Linked DNA regions of Saccharomyces cerevisiae S288C. The gene in region 3 interacts genetically with the main gene of each other region. Each region holds a gene or a part of one and is shown on either strand. Other genes may lie near its edges.

Evidence for each region.
Region 1: mutations in DPH5 (region 3) and THI3 together harm fitness more than expected from each alone (negative genetic interaction), as found in Saccharomyces cerevisiae (2 studies listed by BioGRID).
Region 2: mutations in DPH5 (region 3) and RSF1 together harm fitness more than expected from each alone (negative genetic interaction), as found in Saccharomyces cerevisiae (2 studies listed by BioGRID).

The regions. Positions count from the first base shown.
Region 1 is NC_001136.10:310,142-314,053, forward strand, and holds THI3 (branched-chain-2-oxoacid decarboxylase THI3), read right to left. Parts: upstream 2,331-3,912; coding exon 501-2,330; downstream 1-500. Other genes in the region: putative serine/threonine protein kinase MRK1, read right to left, coding at 2,810-3,903. UniProt on the Saccharomyces cerevisiae protein: One of five 2-oxo acid decarboxylases (PDC1, PDC5, PDC6, ARO10, and THI3) involved in amino acid catabolism.
Region 2 is NC_001145.3:329,182-332,423, reverse strand, and holds RSF1 (Rsf1p), read right to left. Parts: upstream 1,632-3,242; coding exon 501-1,631; downstream 1-500. Other genes in the region: EIS1 (Eis1p), read left to right, coding at 1-212; FAR8 (Far8p), read left to right, coding at 2,193-3,242. UniProt on the Saccharomyces cerevisiae protein: Mitochondrial and nuclear transcriptional activator required for respiratory growth.
Region 3 is NC_001144.5:500,760-504,228, forward strand, and holds DPH5 (diphthine synthase), read right to left. Parts: upstream 1,404-3,469; coding exon 501-1,403; downstream 1-500. Other genes in the region: APS1 (Aps1p), read right to left, coding at 1-290; TAG1 (Tag1p), read left to right, coding at 1,662-3,469. UniProt on the Saccharomyces cerevisiae protein: S-adenosyl-L-methionine-dependent methyltransferase that catalyzes four methylations of the modified target histidine residue in translation elongation factor 2 (EF-2), to form an intermediate called diphthine methyl ester.

The sequences.
Region 1 (3,912 bases), on a different chromosome or scaffold from region 3:
GATAATCGGTTTAAGCTGTTGTATTGGACAAAGCGGACTATTTCTTTATTCTTTTGATTTCTTTTACTAAAAATTATTCAGAACAGAAGAGATCGCAAACTTTATAAAGATATTTTTTTCAAATACCATGTAAAGGCATTCTTTAAAAAATGAAAAAAAAAAAATCATTACAAAGTTGCGTGGTATCATCTTACGATATTCGTACCTCACGATATGTAGCAGACATAGATGAGGCTACAGGGTTAAGGCTTCTTTTAAATGAAGTATTAGACAAGATACTAGAGTTTAATAAGATCACGTATGGTAATGTTATTTCTTGCTGTGACAATTTTAGAAACAGAAGGCATGTGAGTTTTCATATTACATTAATTAAATGAAATTTTTATAAGCTAGGCTACTGTTCAGCGAATAAATATTTTCAAGCCAGTTTTATGAGGCAGGAAACGTCGCATTCGAGCGGTAATCATGAGGGTCCCTGGTAGTAGGGCGGAGAGATCAGATCAGTATCCAACTTGATTTTTTTTTAGAAGTGGTTGGAATTCTGGAGTTGGCGTATTTACTGCGCTAGAATTTTCGTTCTCCTCTTGCACTTGTTTGCTCTGTTCTTTTTCTACCACCCACCTGTCAAGCAGAGCCTGTGGAACATCCCTTGGTGGTAGCATAATCTCTATCATCCGAATTTTGTCATTGGTCGCAAAGTTTGGGTCACTGATCATGGATCTGAATTCTCCAACAGTAATAATTTTTTTCGTTTCGTAGTTCGTGCAACCAAATACTCGCAATAATCCCAAGTAGTTCCAAGGTTGGATATCGTAATAACTAGCATCTGACCTGTGATGCAAAAACCTGTCCACAGAGTAACCTTGGTTATTCATCACAAAAATATAAGGTGTCAATCCCCACTTAACAATTGTGGATAATTCTTGAACTGTCAATTGGAAAGCACCGTCACCCATAAACAGAATAACTCTATGTTTAGTTGCGGGGAATTTATCCTTGTTTATCTCTTGAACAGCAAATTCTGCCCCAAGACACGCCCCCATTGTATATCCGACAGATCCCCAAAGAGCTTGCGAAATACCTAGTGTATTTACCGGAAATCTGGTCTGGTTAACTCCAAATGCAGAAGCACCAGTTTCTGTTATGATTATGTCACCTGGTTGGAACCAATGGGATATTTCATTCCAGACCCATTCTTGTCTCAAGAGGACATTTCCTGCTGGGTAAGGTCTTGGAACCATCATACTGGGTTGTTCGCTTGGTTGGTAAGACAGTTTAGATTCATCAAGATTTGCTAATATTTTCTGTAGTAGTAATTTAATGCTCAAGTCAGGATATGTGGCATTTTTCAATTTCACAGATGTAGAATATAGTAGCGCACAATTCTTAGTTTTATATTGGAAGTGGAAAGTTGACGTGCTGAATTCGGAGAGCATGCAACCAATGACGATGATAAAATCGGCAAAATCAACTACTTCTCTTACTTCTGGGGCTGATATCGAGCCCGTGAATACGCCCCCAAATTGCGGGTCTGTTTCGTTTACTGTACCCTTACCCATAGGTGTAACAAAAACTGGAAATTTAAGCCTATTACAAAGCTCTTTAGTCTCCTCGATTAAATTCTGTCGACTAGTACATGCATCTACGATGATTGCCGGATTCTGGCTTTTGTATATAAAACTCAATATTCGAGAAATAACTTCTTTCTCTACGTCTGGGTCGTTTTTATGCAATTGTAAATCCAGAGGTGTATTAAGCCTTGCTGATTCAATCGGGAGATTTACCTGGTTGACAGGCATGCCCATGTATACTGGCCTCTGTTCTATCCAAGCCTTTTTGATGCACTTATCGACTTCGTCGGCACATAATTCAGAGTCAATAATCAATGTTGTATAGCATGCTACATCACTGGCTATTCTATGAAATACCGTGAAATCACCATTGCCCAGAGTATGATGCAGTAGTAGTTGTTTCGTTTGTGCACTTGTTGGCGGCATACCCACTATGTGAAGTATTCCTACATGTTCAGCGTAAGATCCGGCCACGCCATTGATTGCCGATAATTCGCCTACACCAAAGGTTGTTATGAGACATCCCAAGCCTTTTAGTCGTGAGTATCCATCTGCTGCGTAGGCAGCATTTAACTCATTAGAATTACCGGCCCATCGTAAGTTCGGAATGTTGTATAGTTTATCCAGCAACGGCATGCTAAATTCTCCGGAGAGTCCAAATATGGTATGTATGTTCAGCTGGTTGAGCCGATGGAAAAGATAATCTGATATTGCTATACACTTCGGCAGTGCATATCTCTGTGTATAGCTAGAATTCATCTTCAGAATGACGACGGTGCGTTTTAGTAGTTATGTTCTTTCAAACCTTTTTTTTTTCGTTTTATTATATTTTACTCTTTTCTACACAATATCGATAATGAATTACGAATTTGGTGCTTACCAAAAGGTTCAAAGATTACTATGCCGTAAAGTATGAAGAAAGGGAAATTTGTTCAATGCATCGCAAGTTTCATCAATTTTTCTTCTATGTGAGTGCTTTTAGCAACTGTTTGCAATAAAGAAACATAGGAGTTCTTACAGTTGCCAAGGTTCTGCATATGCAGTCATACGCTTGTGGCCGGTGAAAATTTGGGCGACCGCTGCCTAGAAAAGCAGCAAGTGAAATTAAATGAAGGAAAGAGGACGGTCGTTATACGTTAGGTTAACTGCATACGCTGTGTATCTGTGTGCAGAAGACAAATGCATATTATGTAATAGTAATGATACAATAGACTAAGAAATTTGAAGGATGAGATATATCACAAAGACGATGAAGGTGCAGAAACAAAATGTTTCAACCGTTCTTCAATGGCGGGCCGTTCCACAAGTGGAACATGGCCCAACTCAGTTTCCACGTCGAAGTCAAATATACGCAGGTTTTGTGCTTTTACGTAAGTGTCGGTATCACAACGTTTGGTTTCGTCAAAATAGCTTGATAATAGACATTGTAGAGGTACCAATCTTTCGCAAGGGTGATACTTCAGAGTTTTTGTTAACAAGTCAAGAGTATCGGGATCTTCGGCTTTGAATATTTCAGCCAAAGTAATGGGCTTGATATTGGGGAAAACATGGTCTTCATAATTTGGGTTCATTCCTGAAATTTCATCCTTTGTGGGTATGCCCATTATCTTAATAATTTCCACCAACTGATCTATACCGCTTTCACCAGAGAACAAGGGCTTGCCCAAAAGCAACTCAGCAATGACACAAGCGCTTGACCACACGTCGACCTGGTTTGAGTAATTAGTGGCACCAAACATGAGTTCGGGAGCCCTATAGTACCTTGAACAGATGTAAGACACATTAGGCTGATCCGGTTTCAAGCATTTGGCACTGCCAAAATCGCAAATCTTGAAAGAAAAAGTTGTCGGATCCACCAGTAGGTTTTGCGGTTTTATATCTCTGTGACAGATTCGAGGAACGTTATGCAAATAGTTTAAAGCTTTGAATAGTTGGTATGCATAGAATTTAATTTCAACACGCGGCATCTGCATTTTCAAATTAACAAAATGACGAAGCCTTTGGTATAACGACTGAGGCATGTAGTCCAAAACCAGATTGAGGTATACTTCATCTTCTTCGTCCTTTTCGTAAAAGTAGTACTGTAGACCCACAGTATTTGGATGGCACAACATCTTCATAGTTTCGAGCTCCCTATTTTTATATCTTCTATCTTGTAGTACTTTCTTTATGGCAACTTTTTGATTGGTCTCAATTATTACAGTCGTGACTACAACACCAAATGAACCATGGCCAACCACTTCTGTCGTAGGATAACTGATGTCGATAGTTCCTCCATGATTTTTTCGGTCGACATCAGTTTTGCGGTCATGTTTATAAACCCGTTTATGAACTAAACCTA
Region 2 (3,242 bases), on a different chromosome or scaffold from region 3:
TTTCGATCGGAAATAAATCAAGTGGAAAAGAAGACGCTAATGATTGTAAATCAGCGGAGCATTCAAAAGAAATCTCGGTTTCACAGAAAGCAGGAAACAATAAATCATTGGGAGTTAGCCCTGATAGTTTGGAACATACATTTAGTGGCTTTTCACAGGGTTCTTCGATCGAAGACGATCAGGATGCAATTAGTAATCAAGAGAAAAAATAATTGCTAGTGAGCCTAGATAACGAAGAAATGGTGCGGCTAAGATATTGAACAGTTGAGTGGGATACTACAGAATTTTGATAATTAAGATAGTTCTCATCTGCGCTTTAATTATTCTTTTTATGTGTATAATATATGTTTATTGCCTTAATTTAAATTTAATATTTGTATTTTCTTTTTTTTGTTTAATTTGATTACTTTTGCTTATGAAATAGTATATATGGTTGTTTTACTTTTTTTTTTATTTATTTGATCTAAGTTTTATGTATGCAGATTAAAAGCAAGTTTTAATTAATTGGTATGTTGGTTTTGATTATGATTATGAGGAGTACCGCTATTGCTATTGTTTAAATTACTACTGTTGTGTTCCAGTTCATTCACGCCTGGATCAGTTTTGAAGTATACTTCATCCGGCAAAGTATCTGTTGAAATTATTGAATATTTGATGAGCCAATTTCTCATTGGTTGGTAGTCTAAAACAGAAAACGGAATGTTTAAATCGATAAGAATCTCTATCAAGTCGTTCATGGCTATTTTCGATTGAAGTTCTCGAACATTTTGCTGTTGGACCTGGTGGTTGATGAGGCTCGATCCGGTTTCAGGATGATTTCCGTTGACGTCCCCTTTTTTCTTCTTTTTCTTCTCTTTGAATTTGGCATCTGGTTCAACAAGTAAATCACGCATCAATCTAGATTGATAGTCATAGCATTCCTGGAAAAGTGGAGAATTATGATCAAAAAATTCGGTAAAATTATTTGGTGTTAGCTGGACATCGTGAACTTTACTCAAATGTCTTTGATACTTTCTAGAACCATGCTTCTCTCTACTGTTCTTATCTTTCCATATCATTTCTTGATTGCAAATTCGCTTGGTTCTACGGTCATAAAATTGGCAATATGTGTTGATAGTTAGAGGTGATTTAGCAAATAATAGTTTAGATAGATGGTTTCCCTTAATATCTCTTCTCTTGGGAATGGGAAGCTCCAAAGTTTTCATAATGTCTGATCTAAAATTTAGTGTTTCTGAAGACAGTAGCTGCATATTATTCTCTATGAAATCTACCACTTGTTGCTGTTGCCGTTGAACTGCATATTTAGAATCCTTTGTGCTATTCGATTCAATAGTTCCCAGAGGAAGCGACTCATCATGAGTAACGTTGACAGGAGATGACTTGGCAGATACGGTAGCAGAAGAAAAATCTGGCGAGAAGTTCTCTTTTTGCAAATAATCCGGTACCATATTCATATTAAGTATCCTTGGAGTTTCCATCTTGTTGGGCGCCAGATACATCTCCTCACGAGGAGTCCCACTACGGTTGGCAGGAAAATTAGGCAGTGTCGCTATATCAACCATGCCTCTATTGTCTTGAGGAGGGCCTTTAGTGGTAGCAAATTTCCCCATTTCTGGATTTAGGTCCTTCATAACTGCTTGTAGTTCTATCTCCTTGTTTTCGAATAGCTTCTCAGAAAGTAAAAAAAAGGATAATATTACAGTTTTTGATCTACAGAGTCCCTTTTTGTACCCCTCCACTCAAATCGTTCTGATACGTACGTCTCTAGGTGTCAGATGATGGAGTAACTTGCAGATGTTTTACATGCGTTTCTTTTGGTTTACGCGATAATAGTTCCTTATTAAATGTCAAGAAAGTGCTAGTTGCTTCAGTTGTTTTAAGATTGATCTCCACTCTCTGCGTCTTCACATGCGCGGGACAACTTTACAGGAAAACAAGGTTTAAGAGATAACCTATTCGGGTTTTACGTAGGATGATCTATTATAGTCTATTCAGTTTTTACTGCTGCACCATCCCCTAGGCTTCTTTGTTGGGATATGGTATAGTACTCTATTGGTCTTAACTTTGCGATCTTCCCCGTCGCGTAATCTTAGATAAAAGCCACCTAGAACGACTAAATGTGAGGAGCAAGCAACAACATTAATAAAGAAACCCAAAAGAAGTAAGTGCGTGTAGTTAGACCGGAAAACAATATGGCTATTAACCAGGCACATGTTCATCCGCATTACACGTTACCTGGTGTAATGCACTACTTGCAAACGGAGTTCACGAAGAATGAAAGAGATAGAATCACCTGGGAGCTAGAAAGGTCGGAAATGAAAGCAAGAATTGCAGAACTAGAGGGCGAAAATAGAGATTTGAAGCATCAATTGAATCAAATACAATCGAAAGCTGTTTCTCCTGAAGGTGAAAAGGAAGAAAAACATGTGCCTGATTCATTACTGCAGTCTAAGCTAGCTGTTCAAGAAAATGTGAAGGAAATAATTTATTTGTTGAAAGGCCCTAACACGGTCAATCAGTTAGAGTCATTAAATAGCAGAGAAGCGGGTTCTGAATTGCACGATTTAGAGAAACTGAACGTGAATACTCCCAAGGAAGAGGGCAGTGCGAAGACAAATGGGATGGATATTTTAAATAATGCCCTCTTGGACACCAAACCCAATCCAAAGCAAGGTCCTTCAGAGTCACCATCACCAACCAAAGTGAAATCTTTGTTTAGCACAGCCAACAAGCGTGAAAATAATGAAACAATATCCAAGATACACTCGGAATTGTCGAAAGTCGACATTATCAGCTCCTACGGGGACTGTATGGCACTTTATGATGCAGACACCAAATCGTTAGAAATACACCAAGTGGACGCAAACTTGAATTCCAAACTCTTAAAGAAAATATCTTTAGGGCAAGATAGCGACATTATGAAATTTTTCTGGGTTTCGACGTCCAAACTCCTTGTTATTGAAAAGAGTTTCCATTTGAAATTGTTCTCTATTTCTAGCGCATCTTTGATCTCAGATGTGGACCTATTACAAGACTCAGAACAGCCGTTTTCGTCTAGTGATATCATTAATATAGACTTCAAAAATAAATGGTTGTTGATAGCTAGTAAGAATAAATCTCAAATTAGAATCTGGGAATTGGACAATATAGAGGCTCCTGAGGATGTCCCAATTAACATAAAAGAAACATATGAAATAACACATGATAATGATGACGATGATAGTAATGATTCCACAAACATT
Region 3 (3,469 bases):
TATGTGTCCATTGTTTCGACAAACCGATGGATAATTTCCAAGGTCAGCAGTTCATTGTCAACATCGGGCGTCATCCCAACAATAAAATATAGACTAGCATATCGCTTGTATACTACTTTGTGGTCATTATACTCGATGATGTTACACATTTTGGGTTTTCTTGCTAATATCGTAGGTGTCAAGTCTTTCACAATTTTTGCCTTTTCACCAGCGGACATTGCCGTGTACCATTTCTTTAATCTGATTTTTCCTTGCCTAGAAACCAGCAACAAATATTTTAATTGCGTCATCTTGTGTACCTGTGTATCCGTATATAATCTCCTCCAGGATCGCTCTTGTTCTTGGCTGAAATTGTTGTTATAACTTCTTGTTCATTCATTGCCATTTTTACACATATCGTTAGGGCCCGATTCGTTTGGGATCGAATTGTTACCCGACTGAAAGGATCTATTCAATATACATTATAAAAAAGAAACTACACATGAGCGTGTGCATTACCTTTACTCGTCGCTGTCGTCTTCTGTGGGTGGGACCCATGCCGCAGGTTTGAAGTACTCTTGGTCATTTGCCACATCTTTCCCAAACTTTTCTTTGTCGTCGGCAAACTCTAGCAGGTATTCCAGCTCCAATTCATGACATTGTCTGCCGAGGATGACAAGCGAATGAAGTGGCTCTCCTGAATCGTAATTGGCTAACTCACTTATGGTACCAGACTTAAAGCTTTGGGAGCTCGAGCCTAATCTACTAATTGCGACTGCTGGAGTATCAGGAGTGTATGCCTTTGTACCTCTTTTCTCTTCAATTTCTAATAATTGTTCACAACATTGAGCGATAGACATGTATCTTGGTGGTTCGTAGATTAGTCTGCCACGGGCCATATTTTCAATGCTTTGTTCCTTAACTTTGATGTCCAATAACACTAAAGTATGAAGGCCAATTTTTCTATTTTCCCAGATCTTGTCGTACCATGAGTCTGGTCTCCAATTATCGGTAAAGAAAACCATGGAAACGGTTTGACCGAAATTGTATAGTTGTAGGCCACATGCCCCAACTGCATTCATAACGGACGCATTATGAATAATTTCGACGGGAATTGCCTCACGTTTAGCTCTGAGAACTAAATCTGTGTGTGTGGTGGCACCAAATGGATCGCCCACGACCAAGAAAGCAACGTCTTCCTTATCGGCGTTATTTAGGATCTGCTTAGAACCAGTCTCAACTAATTCCCTATCAGCCAAGATGATCTCTTTACCATAGTAAGATTCTAACTCTTCTTGGCTTGCAGCCATTAGGATACTGGTATAGTGTTCTAGATAAACTCTAGAACATTTCTTAATAGCTTCCAAACCACGAACGGTAATGTCTGATTTGTACGAGAGACCAAGTCCGATCAAATAAAGCATTTTTCTCACTGTCCTTTATTCACTCTATATCCTGTTCGTTTTTACTTTGCTAACAACCACCAGAAAAAAATTTCATCCCATCGCTTAGTTAACTTTTTTTTAGAATCGCATGCATGGGGTTATTTAATTTTCTCTAAAGGTAAATGCGAAGCCCAGAATCAAAAAGATGAACTGTCTAGGGGAAGAAGACACAAGATCCTCCTGTTTTTGGGATTTTTTATTGCTTAGTGTAGTGCATTACTCCTTGAACCTTTTAAGATGCACACTAACTCACCCTTACGAGCGGATAACCAAGATCTAGAAACTCAACCACTGTTGAGACCAAACACTGAAGAAAGCCAACTCCTCAATGATGAAGTGAGAATCAACGTTGCAAATGAGACCCTTATTAAATCTCGTTGGCGGAGTATAAAGTGCTTAATTATATATCTGCTAGGTATTGTTTTATTAAGTTTCTTTGGCGTCAGCATAGTGCAGTATATTAGGGGACATGTGCCGCCCACAGATGTGATAGAAAAGAATCTAGTTCAAGTAACAAATTTCAAACTGGTGGAGTTTCAGCTTGATGGTTGGAAAGATAATATGGGCTCTGACCTGAACAATGATACAGGTAAGTATTTGCAGGTGTCTATACACTCTCAAATTTGGTTCGATTATGACAAATGGCCAGGAACGGAAAATGACTCGGACGCCAGAAGCCAACGTGACTGGATACGGTACATCAATGAAAAAGTTCTTAAAACCATTTGTATAGATCTGAATAACGTGACCACATTCGATGGAGATCTAGTGTTCAAGAATAAACTGGGAGATGTTGTTGGCATGGAACCCATTTGTTTTAATTTGGCTCACCGACAGATTAATAACCTACAGTTCAAAATTTTAGTTAAACCGTCTATTTGGAAAATCGTAAAAGTTTTGAAAAAATTTTGGAATAGGGATTTTGAATCCTTAAATATAAAATCGAATTTAGATATGACTATCTTCAAGAGAAAATTTGGCACGAGGTTTAATTTATTGAAACTTAATGACGAAATCTTAGATTGGAAAGATATTATTGATTGGGAAAAAATATCGGCAACGCCCCTTCGGATGATTCAAAATATGATCGATGGAATATCTCTTCAAGGATTTACATTGCGGGACTCCAGTTCTGATGGATTTCATGCCGATATGAGACTGAATCCGATCACGATTCTTGGAGGGGTGGACTGGCTTCACCTTCCGCCAGGCACGTCAATCCCTTTCATCAATTGGGAAATCAAGCTACCGGACTGTAACGGTGAGCCTGCTATCGCAATTCCAACCTTGTCTTGCTTTAACGAACCGATTAATCTGCACCACGACAAGGATAATATCGTCGTCTGTTTACAAAATGAAATTGAAGGTCCTCTGCCCGATGAACTACTATACCAAGAATGTCCTCAAAATAGTCTTACACCAATGAGCCAAATAGTGAATGCGGTCCTGAACCAGAACGAGACTGTTACGTTCGCAGCAAGAGGCCATGTCCTTGAAGATGGTATAGATAATAACTCATTGATTCCAGCAGACATGCTGGAGGATATTTTCCAAGAAGCATCGTTTATTCCCATTACTACCAATGCTACGTTTAACTCCAGTGAATTGATTCAAGAGTTTCAGATCAACGATCTTCAGCTACGGTGGGCAGCGCGCAAAAAGCTCAGTCTTGTGGGGACATTTTTAGGATTCTTTGATCTATCCTTCTACGAGACGCACCAGCAAGACCGAGTTCGCATCGATACCATTCGGGGACAGATCGATCTGTACCATAACGACATCAATTTCTTAAACTTACCCATGAAGCAATGGATCAACTCTTCATCGCACATTCTGCACGATGAGGACACAGGAAATACGCAGATGAAGCTTCAATTTGATCTAGAAAATGACGACATGGAAGTCGTCAATAGCTTGGAACTAACACGAACCCTGAACGAAATACTATTCCAGGGTTTTACAGTTATTCACTTTAATGCGACGATAGATGCGTCACTTACGACGGCATTGGGCCCGTGGGTTCTCACCGGGTTAGCCGGAGAGGG